7 linked regions of the Rattus norvegicus genome follow. The protein of the gene in region 1 purifies or fractionates together with the protein of each later gene. This does not show direct contact. Links are inferred from orthologs where the notes say so. Each region holds a gene or a part of one and is shown on either strand. Other genes may lie near its edges. The genes, in order: Ppp2cb, Cct2, Tiprl, Stk24, Ppfia3, Strn and Strip2.

Evidence for each region.
Region 2: the proteins of Ppp2cb (region 1) and Cct2 purify together in Homo sapiens (affinity purification with mass spectrometry; 4 studies listed by BioGRID and IntAct, with this or other methods). This does not show direct contact. The link is inferred for Rattus norvegicus from reciprocal best matches to the Homo sapiens genes PPP2CB and CCT2.
Region 3: the proteins of Ppp2cb (region 1) and Tiprl purify together in Homo sapiens (co-immunoprecipitation; 3 studies listed by BioGRID and IntAct, with this or other methods). This does not show direct contact. The link is inferred for Rattus norvegicus from reciprocal best matches to the Homo sapiens genes PPP2CB and TIPRL.
Region 4: the proteins of Ppp2cb (region 1) and Stk24 purify together in Homo sapiens (affinity purification with mass spectrometry; 5 studies listed by BioGRID and IntAct, with this or other methods). This does not show direct contact. The link is inferred for Rattus norvegicus from reciprocal best matches to the Homo sapiens genes PPP2CB and STK24.
Region 5: the proteins of Ppp2cb (region 1) and Ppfia3 purify together in Homo sapiens (affinity purification with mass spectrometry; 3 studies listed by BioGRID and IntAct, with this or other methods). This does not show direct contact. The link is inferred for Rattus norvegicus from reciprocal best matches to the Homo sapiens genes PPP2CB and PPFIA3.
Region 6: the proteins of Ppp2cb (region 1) and Strn purify together in Homo sapiens (affinity purification with mass spectrometry; 5 studies listed by BioGRID and IntAct, counting the BioPlex papers as one, with this or other methods). This does not show direct contact. The link is inferred for Rattus norvegicus from reciprocal best matches to the Homo sapiens genes PPP2CB and STRN.
Region 7: the proteins of Ppp2cb (region 1) and Strip2 purify together in Homo sapiens (affinity purification with mass spectrometry; 3 studies listed by BioGRID and IntAct, counting the BioPlex papers as one, with this or other methods). This does not show direct contact. The link is inferred for Rattus norvegicus from reciprocal best matches to the Homo sapiens genes PPP2CB and STRIP2.

The regions. Positions count from the first base shown.
Region 1 is NC_086034.1:65,265,176-65,268,992, forward strand, and holds part of Ppp2cb (serine/threonine-protein phosphatase 2A catalytic subunit beta isoform), read right to left. Parts: intron 642-3,817; coding exon 552-641; intron 433-551; coding exon 271-432; intron 1-270.
Region 2 is NC_086025.1:54,588,337-54,592,811, forward strand, and holds the start of Cct2 (T-complex protein 1 subunit beta), read right to left. Parts: upstream 3,070-4,475; 5' UTR 3,015-3,069; coding exon 3,012-3,014; exon of another isoform or gene 2,869-3,011; coding exon of another isoform or gene 2,788-2,868; intron 2,369-2,787; coding exon 2,294-2,368; intron 2,207-2,293; coding exon 2,141-2,206; intron 1,292-2,140; coding exon 1,180-1,291; intron 734-1,179; coding exon 657-733; intron 562-656; coding exon 449-561; intron 1-448. UniProt on the Homo sapiens protein: Component of the chaperonin-containing T-complex (TRiC), a molecular chaperone complex that assists the folding of actin, tubulin and other proteins upon ATP hydrolysis.
Region 3 is NC_086031.1:80,082,013-80,086,323, forward strand, and holds the start of Tiprl (TIP41-like protein), read right to left. Parts: upstream 3,029-4,311; 5' UTR 2,984-3,028; coding exon 2,880-2,983; intron 2,813-2,879; exon of another isoform or gene 2,391-2,812; intron 54-2,390; exon of another isoform or gene 1-53. UniProt on the Homo sapiens protein: May be a allosteric regulator of serine/threonine-protein phosphatase 2A (PP2A). Isoform 1 inhibits catalytic activity of the PP2A(D) core complex in vitro. The PP2A(C):TIPRL complex does not show phosphatase activity.
Region 4 is NC_086033.1:104,778,631-104,782,447, reverse strand, and holds part of Stk24 (serine/threonine-protein kinase 24), read left to right. Parts: intron 1-713; coding exon 714-899; intron 900-2,706; coding exon 2,707-2,852; intron 2,853-3,221; coding exon 3,222-3,345; intron 3,346-3,817. UniProt on the Homo sapiens protein: Serine/threonine-protein kinase that acts on both serine and threonine residues and promotes apoptosis in response to stress stimuli and caspase activation.
Region 5 is NC_086019.1:104,979,174-104,983,677, reverse strand, and holds the start of Ppfia3 (liprin-alpha-3), read left to right. Parts: upstream 1-1,399; 5' UTR 1,400-1,535; intron 1,536-1,919; exon of another isoform or gene 1,920-2,365; intron 2,366-4,504. Other genes in the region: Lin7b (protein lin-7 homolog B), read left to right, coding at 206-227. UniProt on the Homo sapiens protein: May regulate the disassembly of focal adhesions. May localize receptor-like tyrosine phosphatases type 2A at specific sites on the plasma membrane, possibly regulating their interaction with the extracellular environment and their association with substrates.
Region 6 is NC_086024.1:22,149,806-22,153,622, reverse strand, and holds part of Strn (striatin), read right to left. Parts: intron 2,022-3,817; coding exon 1,911-2,021; intron 1-1,910. UniProt on the Homo sapiens protein: Calmodulin-binding scaffolding protein which is the center of the striatin-interacting phosphatase and kinase (STRIPAK) complexes.
Region 7 is NC_086022.1:59,541,474-59,544,158, forward strand, and holds part of Strip2 (striatin interacting protein 2), read left to right. Parts: intron 1-738; coding exon 739-943; intron 944-1,784; coding exon 1,785-2,035; 3' UTR 2,036-2,685. UniProt on the Homo sapiens protein: Plays a role in the regulation of cell morphology and cytoskeletal organization. Required in the control of cell shape. Calmodulin-binding scaffolding protein which is the center of the striatin-interacting phosphatase and kinase (STRIPAK) complexes.

The sequences.
Region 1 (3,817 bases):
AACACCAGATTGGGTAACTTGGATTAAGCTATATACATTGCAAAACTTAAAACACTGTTACAATCATCTGACTCAAGGGTTTGAGTAGGAGTATACAGATGAAAATGTTCTGACTGAAGCACTGGCTACAACAGACAATGGCTTTAACAGAACCATGGAGCTCTGGACTTGGCAATGGGCTCTGGCTCCTTCCGTCTGCGTCACGCACGAAGCCTTATCAGAGACGCAGACACCGTGAGAGGCAGGTCAATGTGCAGGAAAAGTACGTACTTCCATTACAAGCTGGTGAGCACGGGACACCAGTGTGAGGCCGTTGGCATGGTTAAATGTTTCAGAAATGTCTTGTCCAAATGTGTAGCCAGCACCACGTGGAGAAATGCCCCAGCCACCACGGTCATCTGGATCTGACCATAAGAGATCACACATTGGGCCCTGGACAAGGATAAAGAACAAATATATACTATGAGTTGTGTTTAATTGAGTTACCCTTCCCACACGTGACTACACTTTTTCCCTTAAAATCAAAACCAACAAGTAACTGCCAAATTTACCTCATGTGGAACTTCCTGTAAGCGATCCAGGGCTCTTATGTGATCCAGTGTATCTATGGATGGAGAGAGGCCACCGTGGAGGCAGAATATCTGTTTTTTAAATTGAGAAAAACATGTTTTTGACTTGTAATTGCTAAATTAACGAACAGTAAGCAATGGTGACAAGCGTCGGCCATGACAGCCTTTCCTTCCCAATGGTATTACTGACGGGAAGATTTGTGAGCTACAGCGCAAAGCAGGATCAGGTCACCAGCAGTAACCACAGCGGCGAGTGCTGAGGGCTCTCCTTTCCCCCGCTGTGGTCCGGGGTCTGAGGCCTCTGCATGCAGTCCAGTGCCTCCAGAGTGGGGCTGCTGCTGCCCCAGCACAGGATGCTCACCACCGTCACTGCGTCCGCTCACACTCCTGTCTCTCAACATCAATCCTCCTGACTCTGGTATTGACTACAATGAGCTTTTTGGTGTTCCTCAGATTTCCTGAGCACATCCCCACATTCACACACTTTCTCTATAGAGCTTATCACCTTTAATTCCTTCCTCATTGTATGATGTGGAAGACATCTCACAGAGGTCGGGGCAACTGTTAGGGTTTTCTCTCCTTACACTTTACTCACTGGGTCACTTCTGCACACCGAACTGTAGTTTGCATGTATATGCAGACCTGTTAGTGGGTGCACACAGATGTGCAGGCCTAAGGTTGGTAGTGGATGTCCCTCTTTGATCCCTCCACCTTCCTCACCAAGGCAGGGTCTCTTGCTTGAAAGCTTGCTGCTGGGGTTGGGGATTTAGCTCAGTGGTAGAGCGCTTGCCTAGCAAGCGCAAGGCCCTGAGTTCGGTTCCCAGCTCCGAAATAAAAAAAAAAAATAAAAAAATAAAAAAAAAAAAGAAAGCTTGCTGCTGTGGCTAGCTCACTCCAGGAATCCCATCTCCAGGAGAGGGGTCACAGGCGGGCACCGTGCCCTCCATGGCTGCTAGGTATCTAGGCACCAATCTTCATGGTTGCAAACAAGTACTTGATGTGTTTACAAATTAGGAAGAAGGTGTTGGTCACCCTCGGCCACCTCCCCAGTTGTCTTCCGTTCCTTTTATTGTAGACAGTGCACCTACAGGACTCTGACATAAAGTGGGATGATATAAGCGTTTTAAATTTTTTCTCAGAACTACCCTCTGTTCAAGGACTAGACTAAGGAAGAGAATAACGAGGATTTTCGTGAGCAGCTCATTGGCAGGGGCAATGTATGTGCTATGGATGTAGCCCAGGCTAACTTAGGCGTCAGCAGTTCTTCCCAGAGCTCCTGAATGGGTCTACGTGAGCACATCAGCCTTTTCTCCTGAGTCTGACGAGGTTTCTCATGCTTCCCTAATAGACAAGACTGTTAATGGATCTTCTAAAACATTTAGCACTATATGATTCTTAACTGAATTTTAAATCACTGATATAGGACACCCTCCCCACCAAAATCGGTTTCACTTTATCTTTCTGTGCCTGCGGTATCTGGTTGGCTACTGAACTTATATAGATAAAACATATGGCCACGGAAGCTCTGAAACCCGAGTGCTGGGATCATAGTCGCACATCATGTCTATCTGTGAGGATTTTCAAGTTTTCCATTTTTTCCCACCAGCTCCATGCTCCTTAAAGCCCCATATACTTGGCCTACAGACATATTTAAGGAGGCTGGCAGATGGCTCAGCACATGACAACTTCATTTTGCCGTAGGCCAACCTCCCTCGCTCCCCTGCAAATAAATGTATCAAAAATAAAATCTCCTAAACCCAAACCTAACAAAGCAGACCTGGTTCTAGATGGCTTGCAGTCAAGGCTTGCCACGCAGGGACTGGAGCCCAGCACCATGTAAGAAGCCGGGCACACAGCACTGCATGGAGGCTCAGTGCTGGGAAGCTGGAGACATAAGGGCGGCTCTGGCCAGGCTATCTACACGAATCAGTGAAAAACCCGTCTCACCAATCAACATGTACATCAACTGAGTTAGGACAGCAACCTCCAGCCGCCATAGGCTCGTCTGCACACACGTGCACATACAATAGGCAGATCTGATTGCTAGGTACCCATATACTGAACACCACGTGTGACCTAAGCTTGTCATTCCCTTCCAGGACTCTGTGCACCACTTGTTCTATCTACTTCATTTCTGAGGTGTTTGTGTCTTCCAGTGATAACACTTCATAAATGATAGCCTGTCACAATGGTGTGTGTATGCTGGCTGTTTTGTTTCTTATAAATACTTCAAAAACAGTAAAGACTAATGAGTTTGGAGAATGCTGGATAGTATAAGAAATACATAAGAGTTCTACCAATGTATGGACCAAGTTTAAAAATCAGATAGATGACTAATACTACTGTTATCTTTCTAAATTAATTTCATTACTTTAAAGCTAAAAGACTTTACTTCAATTACTTGAAAAATTTTAATAACTTTCATTCACATTAGCAAGTATAGGTAAAGTATTGTCATTTTAATTATTACAGTATCCAAAATTATACTCAGACTAGCAAGCCAAAGAGTATCCATTACACCTTCAAGAGTGCTGTGCTTTCATGGTTTCTCTGTGCAGCTGTCAGTCCTGGAACTAACTCTAGCCCAGGGAGGCCTTGAATTCAGAGATCCATTGTCTCTGCTGCCTGAGTGCAGGGATTAAAGACCTGCTAACATTCAAGTTTTATTCTGTGTGTTGTACATGAATTTAAATCAGCTCACTGTGCAGCCTCTAAATGGTGAACTAGGAAACCTGTGTAATGTCTTATATGTATGCCTTAAAACTTACTATGCTGGAAACAGAGATCCCTCTTGATAAAAAAGATATAATATACAATATTATGTTTGTAGTTATCATGAAAATAGGAATAAAAAGCTACTAATGGTAACCAGGGAACGTAGTAATATGGGCACAATTTCCAATTACATCTTGTGTTACTAATAATATATATGCCCCAAGACTTAAGCATTTATTTACACTGTTTTTGTTTTGTTTTGTTTTGTTTTGTTTTTTAGAGCACACATTAGGGCACACATCTTCTTTGGCCAGAAGACCAGAGGCAGGGGAAGCAGGGCTTGGTGACTGAAGCCTAGAACCCCAGCTACTTGGGAACATAAGGCAGGAGAGTTGAGCTGTGCTGAGAGTACGGTCAAGTCTGAGCCTGAGCAATTGAGTGAGACTCCCTCCAAAATAGGCATACACAAAACCCAAAACCCACCACCGCCAAACCAACCAAATCATGAACGGGGCTGTAGCCCAGGGGCAGCG
Region 2 (4,475 bases), on another chromosome or scaffold:
ATCGAAGTAAACTAAAATAGGTGGACTTTTGGACTCAGCAATTCCACTCATAGAAATATTTCTTGAGTAGCAAATTTCCTATATTATAAAGCTAAAACTTCTCAAAAATACAATATAGCTTAAAGAAAATTCATCAGTCCCGTATTAAAGCACCTCAGGACTAATGTCGCAGAGAACCTATCAATACCCAGAAACACACTGGCTAAGAATCATGTTAAAGGGATTAATAAAGCAGGTATGGAAACAGGCTTGTACTCCCAGCACTTGGGCAGTGAACTTGAGGCTAGTGAGAGCTAACTCTAGAGACCGGAGGCCGAGGGGAAGTGAAGGCCTAGCCAAGGTTCTTGGGTGGGTGGCATGGGTTTTAGCTGCTAGGATAGAGCAAGGTACCAAGATAATGCTCAGGGTTCTCTAGATTTCTTTCCCAAGGGGATTGCGTTATACCAACCCATGATCCACAGCTGAGCTCAGCAGGGCCTCTCTTGCTGCCTTTGTGGCTTCCCTCCAACCCGCAATGATGGTCTGTGGATGGATCTTTTTTGCAATTAAAGATTCCGCTTCCTGCCAATAAACAAGGCACATAAGAGTAACCGAGGATTTGACTACTGCTCAAACCACAGTCCCAGTACTAAGGTGGAATTGCCAGCCGCTCTTACCCGGAGTAGCTCTGCAGCTAAGACAGTAACAGAGGTGGTGCCGTCACCAACTTCATCATCCTGAACTCTTGACATATCTAGGAAAAAAAGCAAAATTATGCCTCCTTATCACTAAATTCTTTTACAACTTCCACAGCAAACCTACACTCCATTTATAGTATGTTCCAGATCTGACTTAAAGCTCTAAATACTTTAGCTTGAATGTACCTCACGAGTTCATGGAAACTAATCCCTGATCTTTTTTTGTCTCAGCACATTATGTCTTTTGTCACATTATGACAGAAAAAAAGACCTCACCAGAAAAGGGCCCACCGATCTTGGACTTGGCAGTTCAGCCAAAGACTCTTGTACCATTTAAAAACTACCTAGTCTGTGGTTGTAGCAGCCATACGGACTATGGATGACAATACTTCTGAATTTCATTTTAATACTGATAAATGCCAATATCTCTCATTTAAATAGTTAACACAACCTGCCGGGAAATAAATTATTAGAAAAGAATAAGAGTAAGTTTCAGACTCACCAACTAGAACTTTGGCTGCTGGGTTGTCAACACCGATGTTTTTGAGAATGGTGGCACCGTCATTGGTCACCATCAGAGAGGCATCCCGTCCACTGCTTAGAAGAATTTTATCCTGAAAGGAAATTTGTGTCAAACTAAGTACTTCCTGAAGAATACCTGCTGACACAGAAACCTCTGAAAGGTTCTTTGGCTACCACGTGCTTTGTAAACCTCACTGTGTAAAATCTTAGAAGTTCAGACAATACAAACTAGCTTTGCTACACCACAAGACTACGAAGCAGACAAATGTCCATCAGCAAAGTTCAAAGCACATCCCACAACATTATACGATAGTTAAAGTATAGCATACTAAAGAAAAAAAAATCACAATGGAACCCTTTCTGTATTAACCAAAAGATCAGTTAAAAACATTAGTACCAAGGCTATAAAAATCTGTTCACATAAAAGGAGGTAGCATGAACTCTGAAAACAGCACACTAAAAGCACATAGACATAAACAAAAAAATGGTATCTGTTATTTAAAAAAATGCATTGCAAAAAAAATGTAACATGACAAACTTATCTGTAAGTGAACCATTGCTACCAGGTTTTGCAAACGGTAACTCTTGCTGCCACTGGAGAGAGATGTGTGATTGGGGATGGTAATACAAAAGGACTTTTTCTAATTTAAAGTTTTAGATTCCAAAACATAAGGGGAAAAAATTATTACTAAATTTACACCAAAAGCTTTAAACCATTATTAAAACTTGTATTTTGGGGGGGTTGGGATTTAGCTCAGTGGTAAAGCGCTTGCCTAGCAAGCGCAAGGCCCTAGGTTCGGTTCCCCAGCTCCGAAAAAAAGGAAAAAAAACAAAAAACAAAAAAACGTACTTTTTGGCCAGCCACTACAACACAAGACCACAGGAAAAGCAAACAAAACTAGAAACAAAAGAAACTTCTAAAAATTTCTTATTTTTCTTACCATGCCCTTCGGTCCCAAAGTGCTCTTCACCAAGTCTCCAATGGCAATGGCACCAATAAAGGATGACTTAAAAAAGAAAAATCAGAAAAGGCGGTCAAAATTTACACTCACAAAGAGTTGGATCTTTCATTTAAAAGAAGCAGACGGGCTTACCAGGCGAGCTGTCTCTGCCCTCTCTTCATCAGCTCCAGCCTTGAAGATATTAACAGGTGCAAGGGAAAGGGAGGCCTAGAAGGAGAAAGTAACACACGCCGTTTGAACGCCAGTACTCGATAAGACACATCTAGGGCCTCTCACTAGATCGGTAAGGTTATCTAAAGGAAAACTGGTTTCCGATATAATTTCAGGAGTCAGTCGTCGGAGTGGGTATTTATTTAAATGGCGAGAGGGACGTTCTTGTAGGCGCCAGGAATAAGCCATCACATCAACCCACTAGTGTTTATGACAAAACTAAAGGCAACATTAAGGATGGGCAAGCACCAACCACCAGTTAGCTACCCTCCATCTTCCACAGGCCTGCACTGCCGCTCGCCCTTCAAGACCCGCCCCGAAGAGGGCGGGGCCGACAAGAGTAGCTAGAAACTTCTCCGCTAGGGCTAAGGCCGGGGGCTGGTCGAGGTACCCTAGATGAGAAGCTCTCATCTTACAAAGAGATGCTGGCTTAGGGCGCGCTCTCCCTTCCAGCCCCACGCAGAGAGCTTGGTCAGCGGGTCCCACGCAGGCCTCATGCCCGGTCCGTGCCATGTGCCGAGGGTCCATGAGACGGCCGCAGGAAGCCTGCGACTCCGGTTAGACAAGAGGAGCAGCGGGGAGGCGGGACACAGCAGGACCCGGGCAGGAGCCGAAGGCCTGGGCCGAAAGCTAGGCTCACCATGGTTCCGACGAATTCAGAGTAGAGGATAATCCCTCACAAGCCGCGCCGGGAAGCCAGCAGGGGGAAAGGAAGGCGGAAGTGACGACACGATCTGCCGCAGGGGGCGGAGCCGACCTGCGCGGGTTTCCGCCTCCTGCGTGGCGGGCTGCTCTCTGTAGAAGGGGCGGGGCCTCGGCTCGTGTTAGCCCAGTAGCGGAAATCATTGAGATGTGGGCGGGGCTAGGGGCGAGCTGATTTAGAATAGAACTGGAGAACAAAGAGACTTTGTACCGCGCGGGTTGCCACGGAAACGAAGTTCCTGCTTAACATACATTTTTAAAATTTAATCTTTCAAAATTTGTTTTAAGGTCAGTTGTACATTTTCAAGTGTTGCACACTAATCATTTCCATTATTTACTCGTCCCGGTAGCAACCATTCCATTTTTCGTGCTTTTTATTTTACTTTGGCAGGGTTATTTATCAATAGACTTCTAAATAATAATTTTTAGCATTATTATTATAAAGGAATCTTCATTTAACTTCTTAGACATGGTCTTACTGTGTAACTCTAGCTTAGCTTGGCCATCTGAGATCCTTCTACCCTGCCTCCACAGTGCAGGTATAAAAGGTGGGCGCCACTACTCCTGCAGTTCATTTAATTTTAAGACACTAATTGGATTTTAACTGCTCAGGACAAGCGCTAGTGAGTCTTAGCTGAGACATTGGCTCTAGTAGTCCAGTTCAGGTTTTCCTCATTTGTTTTCCCTCGGGGTAGGGGAGAGCCCATTATAACTCTTACATGACTTCTCAAAGATCAAGTCCGAAATATTTCAGCTTATTACAAATAGTTTTCTCGGCGCTGGTGAGATGGCTCGGCGCTTAAGAGCAGTATCTGCTCTTCCTGGGGTGCAGAGTTCAATTCCCAGCAACTACATGGAGACTCACAACCATCTGATGCCCTTCTGGCATGCAGGTAGGTGTACATGCATACAGAGCACTCATACATAAACTACATAATAAATCAGTTTTTAAAAAGTTTTCTCTTGGGGCTGGAGAGATGGCTCAGTGGCTAAGAGCATTGACTGTTCTTCCTGAGCAGAGGTCCGAGTTCAAATCCCAACAACCACATGGTGGCTCACAACCATCTGTAATGGGATCTGATGCCCTCTTCTGGTGTGTCTGAAGACAGCAACAGTGAGTGTACTCTTACACATAAAATAAATAATTCTTTTAAAAATATTAAAATGTTTTTCTCTTTGCTCTTGATACCTAAGGCAAAGCCCCAAATGATTGAAAAGAATGTTAGTTTTTCTTTTATCCATTGGTAACATTTCTCTCTTTGATCACTTAGTAAGTACCTAAATTTCTGATACTTGCCAACACTAAGGCATTTTCAATGTTTAGTTATATTTACCCTTAGATATAGTAAGTTCGGGCTGGCGAGCTATGGACAGTCAAATCTAGTTATCAACTGGTTTTTAA
Region 3 (4,311 bases), on another chromosome or scaffold:
CTCCCGTGTTCTGTTGAACTTCGTACTCTTACACGACCATATCAACAATAGCACTGAGGAAAAGATAGCGAAGAGCCTGTCTCACGGAAGGAAGGAAGCCAGCTCTTCTGGCAGAAATTTCGGCTTCATAAGAGATTTCAAAGCTAGTGATGAAAAGAAGCAAGCCCAGCAAAGGAGGAGAGCAGAAACTAACACTTGCTGACAGGGCTCTCCTTCCACCCTGCAGCGGCCACAATGCTGGCTCACTAGACTCTCTGGGACACCTACATTCCTCCCTGGGGCCAAAATCACACTTGCTAACTAGACTCTCTAGGACAACTACATTCTCCTTGGGGCTACAATCAAGCAAACATTCAAATTGAATCAGATTTATACTTTTTGACTCAAATTATAAACTGTAAGATATCTACAAAACAACTCCAAATACAGGGAGGTTGGACTATACAAACTAATACTTATAACTTCTGTTATGATGGTGAAAAGGGAATACTCTGAGTGCCCAGTTAAAAATAAATGGTTATGTTTTTGTTTTTTCTCTGTGTAGCCCTGGCTCTCCTCCAACTCAGAGATCATCCATCTGCCTCTACCTCCTGGGTGCTGGGATTAAAGGTGTGAGCCACTACAGCCCAGACAAGGGGAAAACAAATAAATGGTTAAACAGCCAGGCATGGTGACACAAGCCTTTAATTCCACCACTCAACACAAGGCGGAGGCAGGCAGGCCAAATTCAAGGGCAGCCTACCTACATAGAATGAGATCCAGGGCAGCAGAACTATGTAGAAAGACTGTCTCAATTACCAGTAAATAAGCCAGATATGGTAGCTCATACCTATAGTCCCAGGTCCCAGTACTCAGGAGGCAGAGGCAAGAGGATCTCTGAGAGTTGATGTGGCAGCCTGATCTACATAGTTCCAGGACAGCCAGGGCTATGTAGAGATTTTGTCTCAAACAAACAAATAAAAAAAAATAATAAATGGTTATACAAATCTGTAACCATATGATGGAATACTATAAAATCATTAAATTATTTAGAGAAAAGATGGGAAAATATTCAAGATGTCATTAAGACTTTTAAAAACTGGGTCCATGGGGTTGGGGATTTAGCTCAGTAGTAGAGCGCTTGCCTAGGAAGCGCAAAGCCCTGGGTTCGGTCCCCAGCTCCAAAAAAAAAAAAAAAAAAACAAAACAAAACAAAACAAAACAAAAAAAAAAACTGGGTCCATACTCCATTTTATCTATTGGTAACTGAGGTTTCTACGCTGCATATGTTTCATATTTTTACGATGGTTGATAACAGTAAAATGGCACATTTTCACCATAAATTTAAGTAAAATTTGTTCTTAACTTTTAACGAATGGAAAATATTAAATGCCTAAAAGATTAAATACAATGAAAGATTAATATCCACAAGATGTGTCTGTAAAATACAGGTTTTAACTATTTTCCTGATTAGACCAAATATGAAATAATAAAGGCAGCTCCATGGGTTTTCCCAGTTTATCTGGAAAAACTTGCACAGTTACATAAGAGTCTCCGTTATTAAGGTAGGCTGCTTCAAATGCTGCCTTTCAACTCTATCACTGGTAATGTCTACTTGTTAAAGGCAAGGCATGACATTAGAAATGAGGTGTTTGGGCCCTGTTTAACATTCAGGGGACCCAGCCCCCCAACTAGGCCCACATGCAATGCAGGAAAATGCATACACAAACTAGTCTGAATTTATAACATTTGAAACAACTTATGTTTTTAAAAAATTCTTTTACATATGTAAATTTAAAAAAATGTCCTGTAGAGCCTCCCTTTTTCTTTCTATCCATCAATTGGCCACCAAACGTAAGCACTTAAATCTCAGCTTCTATCCTCTTTCCTGCTTACTGGCCTCCTTTCCAGCATCCCAGTCTGAACTCATCTTCTACACTTCCAAGAAACCTTTCAGACTCAACCATAATGCACGTGGAGTAAAACTACATACAGCAGGTGGCTATTATATAAAATCCAAACTTCTTAGCAAGACAGAGAACTCTTCAATGACGCGAGAGGCAACACTCTGTCAGGATGCCCCCCAAACTTTATCAAGATACAGTTTAGGCACCCCCAAACACCTCAGAGCTCACTCTGAGTGTCGGCTTTACACGCCATCCAGTCTCCAGACTTAATCAAGATTCTGCCCAGATGCACTGATCTCCATCCATCCATCCATCCATCCATCCATCCATCCATCCATCCATCCATCCGTTTACGTCCTCATCCTAAACAGCCACACAATAATATAACAGTCTCTCACGAAACTATGAATTCCTTGGGACTTTTATCTTTCATCTTCCCTATCTCAAGTGCTTATCACAGCACCTAATTTGCTAAAAGGAAAAAAGAAAGAAAAAAAAGAAAACCTAAAATCGCTCCGGCTATGTATCTTCATCCTAAACAGTCACACAGTCATTTAACGGTCTCACGAACTATGAGTCTGTGGTACTCAATGGATCATGTTCAGAACCTTAAGAGCCCACCACGGAACCAGACAAGCTAAAAGCAAAACATAAATATCATCTCTGTCATTGCCCGCAAGGAAACAGGTCATCCGCCCCCAGAAAGGTGGCGCAGGCTAAGGTAGGGAAAAAAGGAGAGGCGAAGGGTGAAGTCCACCAAACAGCCGCGCTCAGTTCAACCCTGCGGAACGACAGTTCCAGCAAGCGGAGGTCGCGAGCAGGGGACAGGACTATTTACTGAAGTTGTCAATCAACGGTCAGTCAGAGGGACCGAGCCTGAGGCCCTGAGAACCGCGCGAAGCTGCACCGAACCTGTCCGACCCCTACCCCCGACAATGATCCGAACCGGCCCGTCCTGGCCCGTCCCGGTCCAGCCCCGCCCCACAGCCTCACTTTTCCACATCCGCAGACTTCATGATGTGGGTCTTGGACGCGGTAAGCTTCCAAGGCCCGAAGGAGAAGTCCTGGTGGCTGCTCTGAAAGCCGTGGATCATCATGGCAGAAGCGGAGCCGCAGGGCTACTCTGAGCAAGCGCCTGCGGCAGCGGTCACAGTATGGCCCTCCCTGCAGCGCGGCTCCTGGGCGCGTCCGTTACCATCTCGGCCCCGCCCCCTGCCGCCGCGCCGATGGGCCCGCCCTTCCGCCGTCTCTTCCGCCCCTCCTGGTTTTACTTCCGGGACCAGCCACTAGCTCAGGATGACTCACGTCTTACGTGAAGACGCTAAGGGGCGGGACTTAAGCGCCTCGGTGTCGCTATGGTGGGCTGTCCTGAATTCTTCGGGTGACGTCACCCCAGAGTGGGTGTGGGAATTCGTCTTTCTGGATCCAGAGCCCGGTGCCTTACCTACTCCTTACAGACGTCGCCGAGCGATGTCATCACCTCTTGTGCTTAGGAGTCGCGGCGAAGAGGGCATACCCAAACGTCCCTAGTGTTTAGGAGGCCCAAAACCGACAGCGGCCTTTGAGTCAATGACTGATAGTGGCTCCGCCTTGCATCTCAGTGGAAAAGCAGCACATTACCGTGCAAGCCGCTGTGTTCGATTTTTAGTACTGCAAAAGGAACGGCAAAATATCCTTATGATATTTTAAGACTTTTCTACCTGCACACCGGCGTAGTGGAAACACCGCTGAAAGCCTGGTGCTCCCTCCGTGGTTGCAGTACAACCGTGCGCACCTTTGGGCTTATTTTAGGCTTCGGCTGCCTCAAAATGAGATGGTTTAATGTTAGAGCATCTCAAAACTGTTCATCTTAATTCCAGCAACCCCTCTTACTCCACAAATCATTCTCTCAGTGTTTGTTTCATCCACTCTGGAGCCGCTAAGCAGCTTCGCTCCGTGATTTCTGATTCAGTTCCTGCCTTGACTTCCTGAAGGTGTTAAGCCAAATAAACCTTTTCCTCCTCTGGTATTTTCTGTTTGTGTTTCTGTCCCAGAAACCCATCATCAATTTCCCCTGCCCACGGTCTCTGGATTAATTCATTCCCTTGGCCTCCTGTCCTTGCCTCCTATACAGTTACTCTATTTACATTGCTTATGCAAAGTAGGGCATCTCATCCTGAATGGTGGAGGATTGTCTCCCATCACTGGCCTACAGAGGTTGGCCACTGAAGCACTTCCCAAGGAGGCTGGGACCCTCTCACTAATGTTACATTGTGAACCTCACATTATCTAGATCTTCTAGAACACCTAATAAGGAGGTGAATGAGCAAATTACATGTAATGAATTCCATCCCCATTTCTTTCTGAAAGAGTTGCATACAGCCAGCCTAGGCTCCTCCTCCTCCTCCTCTTCCTCCTCCTCCTCCTCTTCCTCCTCCTCCTCCTC
Region 4 (3,817 bases), on another chromosome or scaffold:
CCAAAGTCTGTGTGGAAGTGACAGTAATGATTACCGTTGTGTGCTGTATGTATGACTATGTTAATGCTGTCCATGTCTGTGTGTTGTAATAAACATTCGGTAGCACTGATGGAGAGCATGTGCCCCGGGTTCAGTGCCCACCACTGCAAATGCAATCAAACAGAACACAAAGGCTGTAATTTCTAGGCACAGTGGTAATATACACAGTTGTCCCTTCCTACACCCTTGTAACTACCTCCCTTGTGAAAATCAAGGGGACCAATGGGCTTAGGGAAAGCTGTTTGTCTAGTGTTGTAAGACCCTGATTGTAGAGCTGATTTGAGACCAGGGTGCTCACTTGGTCTGAACCGAAGTGCGTGGCACCAGGTGCTGCTCAAGGGACGCCGTTCCTCCTCCTCATCTGCTCCGTTGGCTGCTGCTGCTAGGGCTGCAAAGTCCCCACTGAGCACACCTGACACAGGCATGATGTCTACCGTAGACGTGGCCGTTTGCATCGCTACTGGAGCAGTTTTGTATTTCTATGTAGCATTTGCTACATAAAATCTGTCCACTTGTTTCCTATGTTAAAATCATGCTAAGGGCTTGTGTGTTTTGTAGTTCAGAATAACGGTCTTTTTCAGAACCTGAGAGTGAAGCACACGTACTTTCCCCTCCCTTGTGCTTGTCTGAAGGTGGGTCTTTTCCGTGCCTTTAAGATGCTTTTGTCCTTGCAGGCGGACATCTGGTCCCTCGGCATCACAGCCATAGAACTGGCCAAAGGCGAGCCGCCACATTCTGAGCTGCACCCCATGAAGGTGCTGTTCCTTATCCCAAAGAACAACCCTCCCACGCTGGAGGGCAGCTACAGCAGACCCCTCAAGGAGTTCGTGGAGGCCTGCCTGAACAAGGAGCCCAGCTTCGTGAGTGCGGGCCCTTCCTGGGGTCGGCTTGGTCTGCATTTCCTCTGTTGGGCTTGTGCCAGCTGCTCTTCCAGCCGTCTCCCTGGTCTCTGGAATCTTGGCAAATGAATTCAATTTCTCTCTCTCTCTCTCTCTCTCTCTCTCTCTCTCTCTCTCTTTCTTTCCTTCTTTCCCTCCCTCCCTCCCTCCCTCCCTCCCTCCCTCCCTCCCAGAACTCTCTGCAGACCAGGCTGGTCTGCCTCGGCTGGGCTCCCCCACTTCCCTGTCCCTTTAATTATGGATGCCTAGTTTTTGTTGCCCATGTTGCCTTCTTGCCTTTCAGGGATTTAAGATGTAATTATTTTATCTTAGATTCATTGAGCCTGAAGAATATTTTACTTAGTATTGTGAGGTAGGAGTATCAGTTTTTAATATTGATAGAGAAAAATCAGGCTGTAAAACTAGAAAGCCACTTCAGCAGTAGCAGAGCATAGACTCAAAATAAAGGAAGCAGATGTTCAGTTTCCAGTTGTCATGTGCCAGGAGACAGACACGTAGGTACACATGAGCCACCCACTCTGCCACCCTGCCTTTTCTCTGTGTTTACTCAGTGGTGGCAAAGCCTGTGGCCTTAGCTACTCTGAGCTTTCCTCATTTTTCTCTGAGAACTGGGGCAGCCTGTGTGTTTCGTCCCATGTAGCCCTCCGTGCCCTAGCTTTGTTTTGGGTTTAGCTGGGCCAAGGCTTCACTGAACCCAAAGAATAATCATGGAGGGTCCCCGTGAGCTTTTGTCTAAAATGGTGAGAAGATGAATTTCACAGGAGCATCATGTGGCTCCCAGTAGGAGCCAGTTCTGGCAAAGGATTTAGAAAGGACAGGCAACCCAGTCTCGGCTCCCAGGGGCTACAGGCTGAGGTCAGCAGGTCAGCATTTGGTACTGGGTCAGGTATCAGATGGTGGGTGTGGTTTTGGTGTCAGTCCTGGTGGTTGGTTGTTGTGCCGTGGTGCTGCAGAGTGTAGTGTAAGAGGGATCCGAATGTGTGTACATTTTCTTCTAAGCACACGCAGTGCTGGTTCATTCCCACCATGCCCCCTTCTACCTTGGCTTACCCTGGACCTTCAGACACGAGGGCTCCAGAGCTGAGGACACTGGGATGTTTGGATGTCACAGCCGGGAGCTGATGCCAGTAGGGGGAGCCACTGGCTTAAACTCTCTGTGCATTTGGTGGGAGTTGTGCCATTCCTGGGTGGGGATCAAGCTATTGGTCCCAGTCACCAGTGTGGGGATAGCTTCATAGACCTATTTTTCTAAGTAGGGAGTGCTGGTGACTGAGGGGACCCAGCCAGGAGCCAGTCAGGTCTCTCCTGACTCCTGCCCCTACCTCATAGATGAGTCGAACCTGTGAACTCAGTTTCTGGTATTCGTCTAACACCGGAGGAGATCATAACGACACGTATTTCCCTTAGCCAGCACTTACCATGAGAAACCAAGTAAAAACAAGATGAACTCTCTCAGACAGTACTCACAAGGTTCTCTGTGGAGTTCTTCGCAGGAGTTCTCTTGCTTTGGTGAACTGCTCTAGTAGGATGCTTCAGTCTTTGTTGGAAACTCTGTGCCATTTTTCCTTGTGCCTGTAAACTTGGGCACAGGTATGATGACTTCTCCAGCACGCCTGAGCGGGAAGCAGGCTCAGAAGCAGGCTCAGAAGCAGAACCCAGGGCTGCTCCGTGGTACGGTGGTCTGGCATTTTGACCCAAAAGTCTTGTCTGTTAGAGGGGGATGAAGAAGAAACTTCCTCTCCTGCTTATGTCGACGTGTGTTTTCCAGAGGCCCACTGCTAAGGAGTTATTGAAGCACAAATTTATAATCCGCAATGCAAAGAAAACGTCCTACCTGACTGAGCTCATCGACAGGTACAAGAGGTGGAAGGCGGAGCAGAGTCACGAGGACTCCAGCTCGGAGGACTCAGATGTGTAAGTCGCCCTGTGGGGCTCCCCACGCCTGCAGCACACTCTTGGACCCTGCTTCTTTGGGGGTGGGCTTCTGTGTATGTAGCTGTGGCAGATAGGGGTAGAGCTGGGGTGGGGGGGGGGCAGGCAAGCAAAAGAGAGTACAGACAAGAGCCATGGCCAGGAGGAGGAACCTGTGGAGACACTGAGACCCAAGAAAGACGAACAGTAAATTGGCAGATGGATCCTGAGGAGAGCTGAGGCCACTGTGTGCGGGAGGTGGCAGTGGCAGTGGTTGGGGTGGGCCAGGGGTGGGGGGCCGGGGGTCATTGGTCTGCGCAGTGCAGCCCCTGGCCTTGTCTGTGCTGGTGAACTTGGGATTTCTATTCCAAGGGAGACAGATAGCCAGGCGTCTGGAGGCAGCGACTCTGGGGACTGGATCTTTACCATCCGGGAGAAAGACCCCAAGAATCTGGAGAACGGAACTCTTCAGCCCTCAGATTTGGAAAGAAATAAGGTACAGCGTGCCTACCAGCCAGTGGCCCTGGGGAATCGTTCACAATAAGCCTGCTGTGGGAGCAAACGAGGTGCCCCTCCAAGCAGCTCCTTGCTGGCATCTGCCCTTAGGGAGTTGACGGGTTAGAGATTGAGCTCTGTCTGACCACCTGAGGACTGAGATGTGGGCCTGAGCGTGGGTGCCGGTCTGCTCCGTGCTGAGTCGTTACCCTCGCCTTGTGTAACACGGTCCTCCTGACCCTCAGCCACATGGTGGACTTGGATGTGACGCTTCACGTGTGAAAACTCTGAGTAGCTGTCGGGCTTACAACACCCTGATTTCCCTCCGGGAATTTTAATTTCAGGCCCTTAAAGATCAGTATGTTCTTTTGATACTTAATATAGACTTAATGTTGGTGAGGTGGTTTTCCACTTAAATTTACAAAAAGTTATGTTTTAAAGATGAGTTTGTCTGTCCATCTGTGTGGCTGCAT
Region 5 (4,504 bases), on another chromosome or scaffold:
CTCTTCACCAGAGGCTTCCAGACCTTTGACCCCTGTCATGGTAGCCAAGGCCCTGGGACCCTCTGGCTCTCCAATCCCAGAATCCCTGTGCCTGTTTTTCTGAACTGTTGTCTCCAGAACCCCACCCTTGAACATCTTATGCGTCCCCCCACCACCACCACTAAGCCTCCCCTTTGCCTAAAACTCCCTCTCCACACCCTCACAGGTCCTTGGAGTCTCGAGGCTGAAATCACAGAGCAGGACCCGCCTCCTCCCCTGTACAGTATTATTTATTGTCACTGGCTCCTTATTTAAAGATCTTTAACCCTCACCGAGTGTCTTGTGTGTCTATCGCGCATCCTGGAATAGTCTCTGTGGGGGAGGAGGACAGTGAAGCTGAGGTTAAGAACAAGCTCTTTCCAGTGTGTGTACCATGATAGACACCGCTCGAGCAGCTCTGAAGGCGGAGGCTGGCCGGTGTCCCAGAGACTAGACCCAAGGCTGCGTCGATGTGAGTGCCAGGGCGCAACACCAAGGACCACTGTCCCCAACCCTTAAGAGGTTTGGAAGGCCAAGGCCTGGCAGGTCCCCTGCTGTGAGTCGGACGCGGGAGTCTTGAAACGCAGCAGAAGCCTGATCATTGCCTCTGTAGGCGGGGCGGAGCGAACCATCCGCTGGGGGAACCCTGCGGGCCGTGCCACCGTCTGCGTGGGAGTCGGGGGTTGGTGGGGCGCATGCAGTTCCCTAGACGGGCGCAGGGGTGCAGAGTAACACGCACTCGCCACCCATCATCCACTCGCCTCACCTTCCAACCGAGCACATCCTTCCGGGAGCCGCCCTTGTCTTAAAAAAAAAAATCCCACCTTGAATGTTGAATTCCCATCCCGCCGCCCAGCCCTCGTGTCCCGTGAGACGCGCGCCGCCGCGGGGACCCGGGGTCGCGACTCGCGCTCCACGCTGCGCGCTACTAGATTCAGGTGACATCATCCTCTGCCGGACTCCGCCTCCCTCCCAGGCCGCCGCACGCTGCATGCCTATTGGTCGCTGCACCACGAGTCCCGCCCCCAGCTCTCCGCCCGCGCGGCCCCTCCCTCCCGATGAGGAGGCGGGGTCTGGTCGCCGGCCGGCACGGACGACAATTCTCATTGGCCATTCAGCGCCGTCCGTCAGTCTTCTGTTAAAGGGGCCACGACCGCCCGGGATCTGTGGGGGGGAGGGGGAGGGAGGAGAATTTTTTGGGGGGGAGAAGGTGGGATTTGGGGGGGCGCTGGTGGGCACCCCTGGATCTGGCGATTGCGGCCTCGCGGGGGGAGGCTGTACGGTGACAAGGGCAGGGGGCTATTTTAGGGAGTAAGAAGGCTGTGAGACCGTGAGGGGGAGGGGGTCCCCAGCGCTGGAGCCGGAGCAAGAGACGCTGAGCCCGCGCTAGCGGCGTAGACAGGGCTCCAGATCTCCAGATCCGGGCCCCGGCCGTCGCCAGGGGCCCCGCCCGGTGCCCCTACCCCACCCCGCGTCCCTCCTGCAGCCCAGCTCCTCCCGCAGTCGTCGCGGACCAGGTAGGTAAGAGCCCGGCCCAGCTTGCCCGGCAGCGCCCACCCTGGGGACCCCTGGGCTAACGTCTCCGACCCGCTGGCCCGAAATCCTACATTCCCATCTCCATCCCAAGGGAACCCAGAGTCCAGATTTCACAAGGCACCCCAAGAGACCCAGGCGTGTCCCTTCCCGGAGCTCAGAGTGCTCCGCTGAACCCTAGTATCTCAAGCGGGCTGTCTCCTTGTGCCTCTTCCAGGGCCCAGAAGCCTGGATCCCTCAGTTCAGCTCAGGGGACCCCTCAGTCTAGATCTCTCCTCTGGGCCCAGTCCTGGGAGCTCCAGACACTGGTCACCACTGTGGGACTCTCCCCATTGCGTCCAAATCGTTCCCCCATTTGCGTCCCCCACCTTCTGGTTGGAACAGCCGGCGACGTTCCTCGGTCCAGGCCGGCTCGCCCTGGACACAGGCCCGCGCCGGAGCTGTCCATGGTCAGCTCTCTCGGTAGCCTCGCCTCCCCCATCTCCTGCCAGGGCCGCCAGGGAGGGGGGTGCAGGTGGTGTGGGAATCCCTCCCCCTCACCGCGCCTTTGACCTGGGGATCCCCGCCGCCCCCTCCCAGCTGGGTCGCGGGGTTCTCAGGCCCATCTTTAGGCACTCTAGCTTTCTGGGACTCTAGCCGCTTCACTTACATAGAGCTTGTGAATGTCCCTGCCCAGTCCACTTAGAAACCTTGGCATGGAGCCTCCCGCTCCCACCTGGATCTAAAAAACTGTTAGTGCCCATATATCTGCTGGCCCTGACTAATCACTGTCATCTTATTCAGCACCTGGGGGATCCAGTTCCCTAGCCTTTGCCCACCCCCTCCCCACTTAGCACTTACTTTAACAGCTCCCCCAACCCCCCAAAGACAAATATGTCCAGCCTCTTGGTACACCAGCACCTGCTTGCTGCCTTATGGACTCAGGCGCCATGGCTTCCTTTCAAAGACCTGGAATACATTCTATCCTCACTCCCCCTTGAAGATCTAGGTGTCTCACCCCCATCTTGTAACCTCCACCAGAACAAACACACATCTCAGGAACCCAGAATCTCACTGTGGTGAGTGTCCTGTCCAACAGACCACCCACCCAGGCCTACACTCCCATCAAACATCCAGGCTCTAAGTTTCTTCACCCCCAGGTGGATTCAAAGGTCTGGACCCTGGCTTTGCATCCTCTCCCATCTTCAGGTCTTGGTGGCCTCAGTGTTCTATGAACTTTACATCTTCTTTTTTTTTTTTTTTTTTTTTTTTGGTTCTTTTTTTCGGAGCTGGGGACCGAACCCAGGGCCTTGCGCTTCCTAGGTAAGCGCTCTACCACTGAGCTAAATCCCCAGCCCCACATCTTCTATGGCTTTAACAAACACTCATCTGTCCTATCGTCTGAGGTGCTAGACTTCCAGAGTCTCCTCTCCCCCCAAAGCTGGATATTTCTGCCATCTCATTGCCTCTAGAGACCCATCTGGTAATATCTGATGTCTCATACTCCAAGTACCAAACAGCTGTCCTTTCTTCTAGGTGTGTTCTGTGATCAGGGTTCATCAGGTGATCTGGGACTTGCCAGCCATTTTTTCTGCATTTCTAGTTAATAATGAGTCCTTTCCTTGTGCTGTGTTCAAGAGTCTAAGTTCCAGAACATTTCCAGATGATACACTGTCCTGTCCTCATCAAGGCGTGTGATCTACATTTAATGCCACGAACTAAATTCTAGGCATGTCTTTTTTCACTTGCTCCCTTCACATCCCAGTGTCAGGATTTTGCCATGCATCCTGGGCTGCATTAGAACTCACTATGTTCACTATGTTGTGTATATTTTTTTCTTCCTCCTCCTCCTTTTTTCTTCTATTTCTTCTTCTTCTTCTTCTTCTTCTTCTTCTTCTTCTTCTTCTTCTTCTTCTTCTTCTTCTTCTTCTTCTTCTTCTCCTCCTCCTCCTCCTCCTCCTCCTCCTCCTCCTCCTCCTCCTCCTCCTCCTTCTTCTTCTTCTTCCTACTCTGGTCTTTACAAATATCTAGATAACATACCTAAGCTACTTTCTGTTCTCAGTCCTCTCCTTGGATATGTCCTATATTTCTAGCTATTGAAGCTGGGGTTGTTGCTGGGGTAGAGCACTTACCTCACACACACAAAGTCCAGGGTTCGATTACTAGCACTAGACCAATAACAGAAAGGTCTCACTCTACTCCCACTCTTAGAGACTAATATCTCCTGGGTTTGCATTTTAGATGTGTTTTATGTTCTGGCCACATCTGCTGTTGTTCTAGATTTCCTTCCTCCCATGGATATTCTAACTTGCAGAATGTGTTGTTTTCAATGAAATAGTCTAGTAGTCTTTGGAACTCTAGCATGCACAATCTTATTTTTTAATTGATGATTTATTTTTGTTTTATGTGCATTAGTGTTTTGCCTGCATATATGTTTGTACAAGGGTGCCAGATCCTCTGGAACTGGAGTTAGACCATTGTGAGCTGTCATGTGGGTGTTGGGAATTGAACCTGGGTCCTGTGGAAGAGTAGTCAGTGCTATTAATGGCTGTGTCATCTCTCCATCCCCCATAGCTTGCACAATCTTAAGCCTGGAAGGTTCCAGTATCTTTTGAGCCTCAGGTTCTAGGTCCCTGTCACAGCTTCTGTCTTTTCCTTTCTATGGCCTTAGCTTTGGTGTCTGTCCTGTTCCCTGCTGGATCATAGGCGTCAGCTCCATCTGCTGTCTTGGCATTCTGAGCCTGTTCTAGACTCTCGCTTTTTCTAGAGTCTTCAGCCTCTGGAAAATGTTCTTGGTTCCTAAACAGACCACCCCCATCAGTTAGAGGATCTCCCCCCCTTTGATATTTAGTGTATTTTGTTTTACTGTACATGTGCGTGCATGTGACAGTGTGCATGTGGAGGTCAAAGGACAAGTTGCAGGAGTTCTCTTCCTCATACACCATATGTGTCCCAGAGTCTCAAACTCAGGTCT
Region 6 (3,817 bases), on another chromosome or scaffold:
CCCCTCATCGCGGATCTGCACTTGTCCTCACGCTGCTTTCCTCAGGAACAAGTGAGACTGACAGTCGACCTCAGTCTACACTCCTTATCCTCAGTGCAAGGCGCTCACTGTCCCCAGAGAGGGACGCTGCTTCACTTGAAGCCCACGTACTCTAAGTCTAAATATGCATCTTAACACCCAGTGCAGGGCCTCCAATTGCTTCTGTTACCGGGAGTACTGTTCCAGTCAAATGGTGCAGCTTTAGATCTTAAGGGCTAAATCCCAACTACAATGCAGAGTAGATGAGTCACAGCAGGGGTGGCTACATTTTCAATGAAAAGATCTTTACAATCCAAGATACTCATTTTATAACGTAAGACCCAAAGAAATATAACCTGGAAATGTTTCTAATGGGCAGTACACAAGTTTTCCTCAACACTTTAGTTTAACTGGCTCTGACTTAGTCCTAAAAAGCAATAGCAAGCCATGTCTCAATATATCTCTTAAGTTTAGTGCATTGGAATAAAGGAATGAAACAGCCTTGCTTTAATGGTACCTTTCTCACTCTGATTTGATCTACTCTAAGATAACAGTAAACTATCTTATCACTCAGTGATTCTTAAACCTGTGCTATCATCACTAACGGACACGGAATTCATCGATTCAGAATTTATAAATTCTGAGATTTTAGTATTTAAATGTCTTAAAAATAATTACCAGATTGTAACCCAATGTCTGAAGGAAAGACTGCTCTGGATGTCTTATCACAATTGAAAAGCAAGAAAGGAATGCAGCATTTTTATCCTTCCAGTCTTTTGCAATTTATAAATACATTTCACACTAAGTTTAGATTTTAATCTGTTTATACTACTTTCACATCTCAAAGGACAAAATTCCTATTGCCATCAAAAGGAAAGCTCATTATTTACCATGTCAGTGAGTAGACGCACAGAAGGTGGTTTAATCTTACTCTCCCAAAAAGATGGTTTTTGGTGTTTTGAGACAAGGTCTCATATATCCTGGGAAGGTCTCTAATTCCTCGTATAGCTAACTCTGACCCTGACCTCCTGGTCCTACAGCCTCTCCCTCCAGAGTACAGAGATTACAGACATGAGCCAGCACACTCAGTTTATGCTCTTCAGAGATGAGGCCAGGGCTTTGTGCATGCATGCTAGGGAAACACTTTACCATCTGAGGTACATCCCCAGTTCCTAAGAAGCTGCTTAATATTATTCCCATCAAGGTTTTGATAGGATTTGCATTTCCTTAGATACATACTAGATCTACTGACAAACTTTTCATTTGCATAATGAGTTATATGATCCACAGGGCTAAAATTTCATTTTGCCTTCTGTTTCTGATGTGGCATATACTTTACTGAAACGAGGAAAAAGTTAATTGGTAATACTGCTATAAATTAAAGTGGCCAAAACAGTTAATCAGAAAACAGATTCTTTTAAATTGAATGTTTGACCGTGTGCCCTGTATAGCATATACAGATGAGAGCAAATGAACTTTGTGTTGGGAACACACAAGACTACTCAGGGGTAGAAATTAACTTTTTCTTATCTCAAGATCTGAAAGTATAAGCAACCACTTTGGTGACTGCGAGCAAACTGGGTTAAGTAAAATTTATATGTTTCGACCAGAAGTAAACATCTTTGTGAGTGGGCTCTCCTGAAGCCAACCCATCACTGTTCAAACGCACTGGCCGACATTCTCCCAAACCTTTCCATGTTTGTGAAAATCCCATATTCATATGTGACTTCTGTTTAAGTTCACAGTCAAACAGCTGCCGACTAATTTCAACCCCTGAGAGACGGTGAGAAGGAAAGAGGTGAGGAGCAGAAATGAAACGCTAGGAGAGCACTGACAGCGAACCGAGATGGGAGATGCAGAGGTGAACGTGTTTAGACAATGTTCCCACTTACTCTTCACCCCTTTCTTCCCCTTCCTCTCCTTTTTGTACTGCTCCTTCAGTCTGGTGATCACTCCCTGGTCCACATTCCAGGCCTCCGGCGTCAGACACTGATCTTCCTTTTCTAAACAGAGTGAGACAAACAGCCTTTCTTCAGTAGACTATCACATACAAAGGCAATGTGTGGAAGATACTGATTTTCTTCATGACATCACTCGCTTACACAAGTCATGCTTATACTCACATATGTGCACACAAAGCACACCTAGCAAAGATCAAGTCAGTGTCCTAACTAACAGAACATCTCCACTGAAGACGACAGAAGAGGTAAACCTGGTATTCCCTTAACTCCGAGAACGTTACAGCATTGCCAGTGAATTCCGTATCGCACAGGTACAGTGATAGAAGATTCTTATTAAGAGACTAAAAATCTTAATGGTGTTTCCGAGTTTAAGACAGGCCACTCAGGCCAGGCAGATCATCCTCGGAGGCGTTTCTTCTGCAGCAGACGGGAACAAACAAGACCCACAGCCAGACGATGTGCAGAGTGAGAGACTGTGAACACTCAGCCCTGAGTGATGCCTCCGTCAAATCTCTCCCCTTAGGGAACTCACAGGAGGAGGCAGAAAGAGTGTAAAAGCCAGAGGACATGGAGGACACCAAGAAAACACAAGTCCTCCAATCAGCATGAGCAAAGCTCACATGAACTCAGAGACGTCGGCAGCAAGCGCAGGACCTGCATGGGTCTGCACCACGTGCTCCGAGGATATACTATGGCTTCCACTTAGTGTTTCTGTGGGATTCCCGAATGTTCAAGAGTAGGTCTGTGATTATTCTGCCTTCTCTTGGGTTCTTTTCCTTCTGTTCATTTGTCTTGGCCGATTCAGATGTATTAGTCTCTGTCTAACATTATTATATTTTATTACTAAAATAGACCTTTTTAAAAAAGAAAATTATCAAAAGCAAAGAAAGAAAAAAGGGAGGCTTGTGCTTTGAGCATGTGGTTCTGATTTTATGAACAATGCTAGATCCACCACTGAGTACCATAGGAGCAAGACTCTTCACCTACAGGAAGACCCAGTGCACGGAGAGCACTTGATCAATATATTTATTGAATTATCATTGGAATTACCAGAAATCTATTTTGAAAGCAATTTAAGTTTACTCCAATTTCAAAAAGCATCTGTTAGATCTCTGATATAACATCTATCAGTAGTAGGAATATCACATTCTACCAGAAGGACTAATTTTAGAAAATGTTAATTTTTACTGTCTTTTTTAAAATGTTTATTTTATTTATTCAGAGAGAGAGAGAGAGAGAGAGAGAGAGAGAGAGAGAGAGAGAGAGAGAGAGAGCGCGCGCAAGAGAGAGCGCACACACATGGCCACAGCACGCATGGTCAGATGACACTTGCTGGAGCACAACTCCCAGGGGGAGGCTCCAAGATCAGACTGCGCTGTCAGGCTTGGCAGCAGGCACTTTCACTTGCTAAGCCATCCTGGTAGCTGTAAAGACTTGTAATTCCAGTCTGTAGGCACTCGCACCAGCAGCAGCAGTGATGGTAGGTCACAGACAATGTCAATTCACCTGCCCCAAGACCACTAGGCTCTTGACCCAGTACAATCAACCAGCCAACCATCAGCCGACCCTCACAAGATTTATTATCTACTTCCCTGAACTTATGCAAAATTCTGTGCTTTGAATTTTAATTATAAATCTTTAAAAAGTTTATTTTTGAGACAGGTCTTACTATGCAGTCTTAGCTGTCCTAGAACTCACTATATAGCAATCTGGCCTCAAACTCAAGAAATCCACCTGCTTCTACTTCCCAAGCTCTAGGATTAAAGTTGTGCACCATCACACCTGGCAATTATAAAATTCTTTTAAAAACAAAATAAATAAAAGAAGAGCAGGGGCTG
Region 7 (2,685 bases), on another chromosome or scaffold:
GTTTTGAATTATATGTTATAATTTAAATTTTTTTAATTAGATTTATTCATTTTATTTGTGTTTTGCCTTCGTGTTTATATATGTATCACTTTATACTTGGTACCTACAGAGGTAAGAAGAAGGCGTTGCATCCTATGGAATAGATGGTTGTGAGCTATGATGAGGATGCTGGGAATTGAACCCAGGTCCTCCAGAAGAGCAACTTGTTCTTAAATGCTAAGCCATCTTCACAGTGTGAATATTACAAACTCTAAACTAATTAGTTCTTCATTTTGTTGTATATCACAAGACTGACTGTGAACTCCTGATCAGCCTCTGAATATGGTGATTGTAGGCATGGTAGGCATGTGCCATCATGTCTGGCTTAATTTGTGTGATGTGGTGTGTGTGTGTGTGTGTGTGTGTGTGTGTGTGTGTGTGTGTGTGTGTGTTAGACAGTGTTTCACTCACCCCAGGCTATCCTCAGCCTCCTTATACAGTTCACTCTTATGTAGAGTAGTTAAAATTCATGGGCTTAAACTATTGGCAGACAAAAATGGGCATCTCTTTTTACAATTACTAAGTAATATGCTACTAGTATTTAAAAATCTGGACACATAAATTGAATTTTATGTTTCAATTCAAGACGCTAGGGTCTCCTAGGATAGCCAGGTTTGTCTATATTGTCTGAGTAGGAAATCCTGAGGGGTTCACATGATGACGGACTGTTTGTTACCCTGTCCCTGTTTCACTGGGCAGATGTTGGTGGTGTTTAAGTCAGCTCCAATCTTAAAGCGAGCTCTCAAAGTCAAACAGGCCATGCTACAACTTTATGTCCTGAAGCTACTAAAGATACAAACCAAGTACCTTGGGCGCCAATGGAGAAAAAGCAATATGAAGACCATGTCAGCCATTTACCAGAAAGTGCGCCACCGTATGAATGATGACTGGGCTTATGGGAATGGTGAGTACTCTCATAGTAGATGGTAGGTATTCTTTGTGAACTAGGAGCTCGTGAATTTGACTAGGCTGACTGGCCACTGAGCTCCCAGGATTTGCCTGCCTCTGCTCCTGCAACATGGTGGTTATAAATGCATACTGCTGCACCTGGCTTTTATGTTGGTGTCAGGGATCCAAAGTCAGGTCCTCATGCCATCTCCTGAGCCCCTAAATATGATACGAATTTTATGATGTGCTAAAATGTTTGCCTTCTTATACTTTTTGTTTGTTTGTTTGTTTTAGTTTTATTGTTTTGTTTTGAGACATGGTCTCACTATATAGCCCTGGCTGTCCTAGAACTTGCTATATAGACTACGCTGAGATCTAGTCTGCCTGCATCTGTCCCCCAAATACTAAAATTAAAGACCTGCACCACCATGCCCGGCTGAGTTGGTCCAGACTGATGATTCTTCATGTTCTGCCCCAGTCTTCCCTAGGAGAAAATCTCCCCTTTTAATCCACTATGGAAAGTTCAATAAGAGGAATTTAATTGCTCTTAACAATTATAATAAATCACTAGAAAGAAATAAACAAGAGATTACAATAAAAACTCATCTCCTTTCTCAGCAGTAACTACTGTTACCAGCTTCTAATCTGCCAAAGATCATTTCTGTTATAATAGTTTTATATGTGAGCATATGAATACTTTTAAAACCTGTAAGCATGCTATATGTCTACTTTATACATTGCTCTTAAAAGAACATTCTGAGCGGTTTCACTGTTAGGATCCCATAGACCATGCTCTATGGAGGAAGAGTAGCATCCTGAGCTGTACCTATCTTTTTCTTCCTCTCTTCCTATGTCAGACATCGATGCCAGACCATGGGACTTCCAAGCTGAAGAATGTACCCTGAGGGCCAACATCGAGGCCTTTAACAGCCGCCGATATGATAAACCGCAGGACTCAGAATTTTCACCTGTGGATAACTGCCTGCAGAGTGTGCTGGGGCAGAGGTTGGATCTGCCTGAAGATTTCCATTACTCCTATGAGCTCTGGCTGGAGAGAGAGGTGTTTTCACAGCCCATCTGTTGGGAGGAGCTGCTCCAGAATCACTAATGGAGGTTGGATCCAGGAACCCATTCAGCCTTCTCCGTGAACCCCAGGAGTGTGTGTCCAGGGGTGTTCCAGCCTGGCATGCAGCAGAGACACACAGCATAATTCAGGGCTATCCTGGGTGCCATTAGGCTTGAAGGTGGTTGCAAGACTGGGTGGGATCCTGAGTCAAAGCAAATGGACCAACTTGTCCTCGGCTCAGCTAGGTACCTAGATGGCCTTCACATCTCCTGGTGGATCAGTCCTGGACAGACTTTGAAACCTGCTTTAATCTTGCCAAGAACTAGGCCAGCCTTTTGTTACTGTGGCTGGCTTTGTTAGCCACAGTAGTGAAGGGAAGCTCGTTACAGCATTTGGCCCATGACGTTCATCTCAAGCAGGGGAATAGATACAGCCGTAAAATGAGATTTTTCGTCTTGCCCGCCCTAAATGCCTAGGACTTGTCATTTAGCAAAGCCAACTTTAGACTGTATTTCACATTTAAAAAGTTGGTGCTCACCTCTTTATAAAATAATCACTGATTCTAAGGTGATTTGAGAGCACTGTATCTTTAGAAAGGATGACTGTCTCCAAAACGCTGCATGTTACAGAACAGTGTATTGTGTAGGCTTTTTCCCTTAAGAGACTGGTGTTCCATGTAGAAACTATTTCAT